Oryctolagus cuniculus: one gene and its partner. The protein of the gene in region 1 purifies or fractionates together with the protein of each later gene. This does not show direct contact. Links are inferred from orthologs where the notes say so. Each region holds a gene or a part of one and is shown on either strand. Other genes may lie near its edges.

What was found.
Region 2: the proteins of MRPS27 (region 1) and NOA1 purify together in Homo sapiens (co-immunoprecipitation; 3 studies listed by BioGRID and IntAct, counting the BioPlex papers as one, with this or other methods). This does not show direct contact. The link is inferred for Oryctolagus cuniculus from reciprocal best matches to the Homo sapiens genes MRPS27 and NOA1.

Annotation. Positions count from the first base shown.
Region 1 is NC_091445.1:38,743,677-38,747,480, reverse strand, and holds part of MRPS27 (small ribosomal subunit protein mS27), read right to left. Parts: intron 3,019-3,804; coding exon 2,903-3,018; intron 1-2,902. UniProt on the Homo sapiens protein: RNA-binding component of the mitochondrial small ribosomal subunit (mt-SSU) that plays a role in mitochondrial protein synthesis. Stimulates mitochondrial mRNA translation of subunit components of the mitochondrial electron transport chain.
Region 2 is NC_091439.1:107,686,897-107,691,246, forward strand, and holds the start of NOA1 (nitric oxide-associated protein 1), read left to right. Parts: upstream 1-1,303; 5' UTR 1,304-1,346; coding exon 1,347-2,421; intron 2,422-3,078; coding exon 3,079-3,243; intron 3,244-3,842; coding exon 3,843-4,048; intron 4,049-4,350. Other genes in the region: POLR2B (DNA-directed RNA polymerase II subunit RPB2), read right to left, coding at 459-477. UniProt on the Homo sapiens protein: Involved in regulation of mitochondrial protein translation and respiration. Plays a role in mitochondria-mediated cell death. May act as a scaffolding protein or stabilizer of respiratory chain supercomplexes. Binds GTP.

The DNA of each region.
Region 1 (3,804 bases):
TGGGAGAAAAAACAAAACCGCCCAGGTACTTCTGCAGCACAGGTAGGTGAAAGAGCTGATAATTAAGGACCAGGTCATTAGTTTCAAAAGCAAAGCACTCTAATCAAGGGAAACTGGGTGCCCCCCACCGTAAACTGTGTGAAAATCTGGTTCAACAATAAATAAGGAATTTAAAAAATATAGAAATGTCTTCCAATGGGGAAAAACATGGGCTACAGTACTGGGATGCGTTAGGGGCTAAAGCTCCTCTGAGTAGTGACATACTGAAGTGACAGTTTTCCTTGATGTGCCAGCAATCAGGTGAGGTGCTGAAGGTGACTGGAAAGCAGACTTCCCAAGGGAGATGAACAGGAACAGACGGACACAACTCTGGAGTTTTTTGATTGTCTGGGAATACGACAACTACAGCTGTTCGTGCGATAAGCTATTTATGTGTCAACATAAGGTATCAGATCCCTGCCCACCCTGAGAGGCTACTGTAGATGCTCCGCTGGAGGAGTTCAGGCGCTAGCTCACCAAGGTCCTCAAGGTTGTCCTGTCGCATGCTTGTGCCTCTCCTGTTCACACGCAGTGAATCTCACACTCCCAGGCTCCCTCCTCACCTAGACATGCTGTCTCCTTTCTGCAGCTCTAAAGCACTCCATAATCTACTCCAGTTTGGTTTCCTGCCCCACTACTCTATGGGAGCCAAGGTGACAACCTGAGGGCCTCCAAACTACAACATTCAGTGAGCTGTTTCTACTCCTCATCTTACCCCGCCCTCGCAGGAGCACCCTACACGGCAGATCACTCTTCCAAGGGACTCTGCGGCCCAACACATTCCTGATTCGCCTTCCCTTCGCTCTGAGCCTTATGTGCAGACATTTATATATGGTTTATAAACTAATCTCCAAAATCGCATCTCCAGTTCAGATCTTTCTGTTAAGCCCCTAATTTCCCTATTGAAATCTCTCGACCGGCTCAAAAGCATCTCAAAATGCAGGATGTTCACAGCCAAGTTCATGATTTTCCTCAAAAAACCCAATCTCTTTTCAGAATTCCCTTTGCAAACACATGGCACCCCATCTGCACAGATCTACAAGCCAGGAACTGAGAAGGGGGTATGTGACCCCTAACTCCCTGCCTCCACATCTTCATCTTGTTACTTACTTCCCAAATACGTCTACTGGTCACAAATTCCACCACATCCTGGTCCCTAGGCCACCATTATCTCTTATCTGGAATCCTTAAGAGTCTCTACACTGGGGCAGTGTTTTGATGTAATGGGTTAAGCTGCCACCTGCAATGCCGGCATCCCATATGGGTGCCGGTTTGAGCCCTGGCTGCTCCACTTCCGATCCAGTTCTCTGCCAACATGCCTGGGAAAGCAGCGGAAGATGGCCCAAGTGTTTGGGCCCCCTGCCATCCATGTGGGAGACCCGGATGAAGTGCCAGGCTCCCGGCTTGGACCTGGACCAGCCCAGCCCTGGCTGTTGCAGTCATTTGGGGAGGGAACCAGCAGATGGAAGATTTCTCTCTAACTCTGCCTTTCAAATGAATAAAATAAATCTTAAAAAAAATAAATAAATAAAAAGCCCCTACGCTGGTCTGACCATATCCATCCTTGTCTTGCTCCGATCTCATCCACATTACAGCCAGAGGGCGCTTTTTGAAACACAAATCTGATCTCGCTATGCCCTCTGATTCAAGCTTCTCCGTGGCTTCTCCAACCTTGTCTCGCCCACATCCTCCCTTCCACTCTGCCACTGTGGCTGCCCTGGCCATCTGCTCACCACGCTCTTCCTGCCACAGGGAGTTTGCGTACTGTCTGCTCTTCAGCTAAGTAATTCCTGCTCATCCTTCAATATTAACCCAAGAACAATTTCCTGACAAGCTCTGAACTATTTCCATTTCTAACCAACTGAAGTTTAAAGTACAAAGTTCCCTACCACATGGGTGTTTCACAGACTTCTCCACTGCCATGCTTATTATAGTCATAATTTTATGCTTGTGTGTTTGTTTCAGATGCCTGTGGCAGGAAATGTTTGTGCACCACTGTATAACCAGCACGTGGCAATAGCGGGAACAAGTAGGTGCTCACTATATTTAACGAATGTGGGCAATATCATAGACTAGGACACTTAGGAAGGCACACAATACCAAGTGTTCTTTACAACACAGCCTGCACTAGATGCATTTTGCAGTTCCTACTCAAACTGGGATTTCTGCAGGCTACATTGGAACTTAAGGGCAGACCACAGAGCCAGACTGCCTGGCTCTGCCATCTCTACGTCCCTGTGTCCTTATCGGCACAGTCAGTGTGAGGCCTAAATGCACTGATGAGTTTAAACAAACAAGAACACAGCCTGGTGTGAAGTTAAGTGCTGCACAAATACTAGTATTGTTATGCTTAGGAAAGCAATAAATAGTGACTAAACAACCTAACCTAGGACCTGAAACCAAAATTTGTCTTTATGGACCTTCCAGAACACAATGGACCTACAACAACCTTACGAAAACCCTGATGCAAAGTAAATAATCAGTATGCAGCACCCCAGATTGTGGTCAGAGCTAGATGCCGCCTTGCTTTCTTGATAGGCCATGCCCGGCTCTCAGTGATGATCAGAGACCCACTTCTGAGAGTCCACGGTCGCTCAGCCTAGCTCAGGATGTGCCACAGGGACTGTGACTTGTGGTTCTGTCAAGTGCACAGACATGCAGCTCAACTCTGCTAGAACACAGTAGCTAAAATGTTCAGACTGAGCATGCACACCCAGTGTTGGGCCACCACACAGCCACACACTGGGTTCTGTTTTCCAGATTCTGAGAGCAATGTTTCCACGGGCCACCTGCTCCACGACTGAGCAGCCACTGCTTGGTTCTTCCCAAAGCTCTCAGCCCTGCTGTGGGGCGGATCACTTACACTGAGGTCTGTCTTCTTGGCCAGGCAGTGGTATAAAACATAGAGAGACAGAAGCTGGGTGGATGGCGCGTCAAAGGCTTCTTGCAACATGACCTCAAAAACCACAGACAAAGCATCTGGCAAGGAGATGAAAGGAAAAAGGAGAGGAGATCAGCTGGAGGTAACATCAGCAAATTACACACTCTAAAAAAGTGGGGTGTGGTAGAATCATAAGAAGAATCAGGAAATAACAAATGCAGGCTCTGACCCTCCTTCCATTAACCAGGTCCTCCCATGCCTGCAGTGTCTACGATACAGCTCCAAACAGGCTAAATCTAGTGCTACTGCACCCGTGAGCTCGGGGACACTGGAGAAGCCACTTGGCTCCTGGCATCATCTTCCTAATGGTATTTGTCCCATCTGCTTCGAAAGATTTTTGGATAGTCCAACATGTGAAAATGTCTCAGAAACTATGAAGCAAATTTAAGGCACCATGTTCCTTGGCTAGAAGAGCTCCGGCACACAGAAAGGAAGTATGCCAATGTTCAAGGTCATCCTGACAAGCAGAGCGGAAAGGCTGCGCTAACTGGCCCATTCTCTGCTCTCCGTTGAGGCAGAGGAGGGAAAACATGCTAGAGGAGATTCTAAATCTCAGGGACTCGAAGACAGAAACCAATGGCTATAAAAAGGACAATACAATCTGGTTTGAAAGTCCTACAAGGACAAGGAAAACGCTCATTGTTGATGAGTGCAACATGCAGTGTAAGAGGTCTGCTTCCGCGGGAAGGCTGGTCATAGCAGAGCAGGCCTGAAGCAGTTCGTATTTTCCCCTGATATTCTACAGGATAAAAAGGAGCCAAGAGAATCAAGGTCAAACACTCGCCTTCCCTTAGTTATTGTTAAAGCAGAGAGTGGGAACACGG
Region 2 (4,350 bases), on another chromosome or scaffold:
CGGGACTGGGAGCCAGAACACCTCTCTGGCGGCCGCGCGTCCCTCTGGGGCGCAGTCAGTTCCAAGGACACCTTCGAGACAATTCCCCGAGGTTTAGGACTGCACGGAGGAGGGCCACCCGCGGCCGCCGTGCTCCCAGGGCCCAGCACACAACCTAACGGATGGCCAGCGCCACTCCGTCCATCGGTGGCCCGGGGACCCGAGGACCGTCGGGACGCCCCCGAGCCGGAACAACGCCATCTGCCTACGGTTCCGCACGCCACTCCACCACGGGACGAACACAGCCGGCCAGGAGCCTGCACGCGCGCATCCCCCGCGCCGCCACTTCCCGCACGCCCAGCTCGGACCGCGGCCCGGGGGTGGCGGGGGTACACCGCGGGGGTCTCCGGGCGGCGGACGCAAAGCCGTCCAGCTCCCCCATTTTCCCGCCGCGGAGTCTGCGTTGCATGGTCACCTACCCTCGTCCGCGTCGTACATGTTGGCAAACGGTCCAGGAGATCCTAACCCTCAAAAAGAAAAACCACTGAGACAGAAAACCGCGTAGCAGCCGCCACAGGGCCGCAGGCAGAGACGAAGCAACTTCCGGTTCCGGTGTTCCCACAATTCTCTGCGTCCCCGAAGGCCCGCCCCACCGTCGCCGAGGTGGGATCTGCGCCTGCGCCAGTTGAAGCATAGGGCGGGCTGGGCTCGGGGTCGCTCGGGCGCGGCTGAGCCGGGGCGCGACCAGTCCGAGGCGGAGGGGCGGCTCTACAGCTGCTTCACGTTGAACAAACCCCGCCTGAAAAAAATCCAAGTGAATTTGTTAGCGGTTCTGGCCGTGGCGTGAGCTCGCAGGTTTAAGGCTGTATTGTTTGCACTCCAAAGACCAGGAAGCCACAAAACTAAAAGGGATTAAGTGCGACTTGTGCTGGCCGTAGCGCCTTGAGAAAGCTTGAAGAAAGATTTATTTATTTATTTGAGAGGCAGATTTACAACGAGGCAGAGAGGTCCTCCGACCGCTAGTTCACTCCCCCAGGTGGCCGCAACAACCGCGGAGCTGAAGCCAGGAACTTCCTCCCGGTCCCCGACGTGGGTGCAGGGGCCTCAAGGACTTGGGCCATCTTCTGCTGCCTTCCCGAGGCCCCAGCAGAGAGCCGGGTTGCAAGTGCAGCAGCCGGGACTCGAACCTGTGCCCTCAAGGGAGGCTGATACCGCGGCTTTCCCGCTACGCTTTCATCGCGATAACTCGCGGGATCTCGAGGTGGAAGGAAGCCGCACCTCCGGGGTTTGGGGCAGAACGGGCGCCTGGGGCCCCACTGCGCGTGCTCGGTGGTGGCTCCGCCCCCTCGCGGCGGGCCGCGATCCCCATGCTGCCCGCACGCCTAGCGGGGAGGCTGCTGGGCCCCGTGGTGCGGTGGTCCGCGCCTGCGGTGCGGCTGCTGCGGACGGGATGCGCGGCCGCCGCCGCCTCCCAGCCCCCGTCGGGCCTGCGGCGGGCGCTCCCTCAAGGCCCCGCCGCGCCCGGGGACGACACCGAGGAGCGTTTCCTGTTCCCCGAGTACACCCCGGAGCCGGAGCCCCCGCCGACGCCTGAGGAGCTGCTGCGGGCGCTGCGGGAGCGGGAGCAGGAGCAGGAGGAGCAGGCGCGGCGCCGGGCGGAGCGGCGGCAGGCGCGGGCCAGCCTCCGCGCGCCCCCGGCCGCGGGCCGCCCGGACCCGGCGGTGCCGCCCAGCGGCCTGCCCTGCTCGGGCTGCGGGGCGGAGCTCCACTGCCGGGACCCCGGCGTGCCCGGCTACCTGCCCAGCGAGAAGTTCGCCCGCGCCGCGCAGGACGGCCAGCTGGCGCGCGCCGTGTGCCAGCGCTGCTGGCTGCTGGTGCACCACCGGCGCGCCCTGCGGCTGCGCGTGAGCCGCGCGCAGTACCTGCAGCAGGTGAGCGCGGCGCTGCGGCGGCCCGGGCCCGCGCTGGTGCTCTACCTGCTGGACCTGCTGGACCTGCCCGACCCGCTGCTGCGCCACCTCCCCGCGCTGGTGGGCCCCAAGCAGCTGATCGTGCTGGGGAACAAGGTGGACCTGCTGCCGCAGGACGCGCCTGACTACCGGCGGCGGCTCCGCCAGCGGCTGTGGGACGAGTGCGTGCGCGCCGGGCTGCTGCCGGCGCCGGGCCACCGAGGGCCGCAGCCCGGCGCCGGCGGGGACGAGGAGCAGAGCGCGTCCCGCACGGTGGTCAGGGACGTGCGGCTGGTCAGCGCCAAGACCGGCTATGGGGTGGAGGAGCTGATCTCGGCGCTGCAGCGCGCCTGGCGCTACCGCGGCGACGTCTACCTGGTGGGCGCCACCAACGCCGGCAAGTCCACGCTGTTCAACACGCTGCTGGAGTCCGACTACTGCACCGCCAAGGGCGCCGAGGCCATCGACAAGGCCACCATCTCGCCGTGGCCGGGTGAGTGCGAGAAGCGGGCGCACCGTGCCCGCCGCCGGGCGCCTTCCCTGGAACCTTGCAGCCCTGCGGGGGTCTCGCGCCTCCCTGGCCGGAACAGAGCCGAAGCCCCTGCGCTCTGGCCGTGTCCCTGGAGCTGGCTTCTTCGTAGGGTCCTCTGGCTTTGACTCCCGGCGTGAGGCCAGCGGGTGCTCCACGCACAACACGTGAATAACCCGTAGTGCAGAGCGTGCGTGGGGAAGAAAGGGCGGGTGGTGACTTGGTAAGAAACTTGCGTGCTTGGAAAATGGGTCCCTGTGTCTGTGACCCTGTTTGTGCTGGACTTGGGAGAGCGCACTGCGACAGCCCTGTGTCCCCTTGAAGCCAGACTTCACCCTTGCTTAGTGAGCTGGTCTTCTGCCTTGCGCTGGAGTTGAATTCTCCGCAGTTGCTTTTTACCTGGTGATGTTGAAAACAGCAATCAGACATGCACACGGATTTTGGATTCAAGTCCTGGTTAAGCTTGCGAGCCAATCGGCTTATTTACGACTCCTCCGTGAAGTGGGACTATTTCTAGGGGGCTAGCGTGGAGGTTGCGTGAGAGAAAGCAGCGTACCCCACAACAGCGCGTATCCTCAGAAGCGCTCATTCCTTCCCCTTATTCCCTTCCCCGTGTTCCAGGTACTACGTTAAACCTTCTCAAGTTCCCCATCTGCAACCCAACTCCCTACAGAATGTTTGAAAGACAAAAAAGACTTAAAGAGGACGCGGCCAAAGCTGAAGAGGAGCTCAGTGAGCAGGAACAGAATCGGCTCCGGCTCCTGAAAAGACGTGGATACGTAGTGGGTAAGCGTCCTGTGGGGAAAGCCCTTGTTGGTCCCATGCCGGAATTCTCCCCGAAATTCAGGGGCCTGGGGCCAGCCGCTTGTTGCGGGGAGAGGCTGCCTTGCTTGGTCTCTTTAAAGGCAAGGCTGCCTCCATCTGGAACCCCAGACCGATACTCGTGGTAAATGTTGGTGACTCCGTGCAGCGGCTGCCCTGGGGACAGGCGTTTCATGCAGTAGTTACGACGGCCATGTCCCCTATCAGAATGCCTCTGTTCAACTCCTGTGTGCAAGCTCGCGCTCCGGCTTCCCGGGAGGCAGCAGGTGATGTCCTGGGTATTTGGGTCCCTGCCACCCTCCTGGGAGACCCAGCCTGAGTTCCCGGCTTGGCTGCTGCGCTTCCATCTGGCCCGGCTGTTGAGTTCATTTAGGAAGTGAATCAGCAGGAAGATGATTTCTCGGTCTGTTTTCCAAATAGAATTAGTAAGTTTGCTTTTAATTTGTTCCTACAAATCAAAGAGACCTTGTCTCACTTCTGTACACCTAAGTTAGCCTTCGTAAGTTGTCTGGAGTCAAAAGCTTTGACGGACTGACTGATGACCTCGGTATAATGTGTTCTAGGAAGAGTTGGAAGAACATTCTTGTATTCAAAGGAGCAGAAGGGTGAAGCTGCCTTTGAGTTTGATGCGGATTCACTGGCCTTTGACATGGAAAATGAACCTGTGCTGACTCCAGACAAATCCACCAAGCGAGTGGAATTGACTCCACAGGACGTGAAAGATGCCCACTGGTTCTATGACACCCCTGGGATTTCAAAAGAAAATTGTGTATGTATCTGGTCTCTTCCTCCACACTTACTTTTTTTTTTTTATTTTAATATTTACTTATTTGAAAGGCAGAGTTACAGACACAGAGAGAGAAACAGAGAGAGATCCTCCATGGGCTGGTTCACTCCCCAGATGGCCGCCACAGCCAGAGCTGGGCCGGTCTGAAGCCAGGAGCCAGGAGCTTCCTCTGGGTCTCTGGGTTCAGAGCCCGAGCACCTGGGCCATCCTCTGCTGCCTTTTCAGGCACATCAGCAGGAAGCTGGATCGGAAGTGGAGCAGCTGGGACTCAAACGGCACCCATA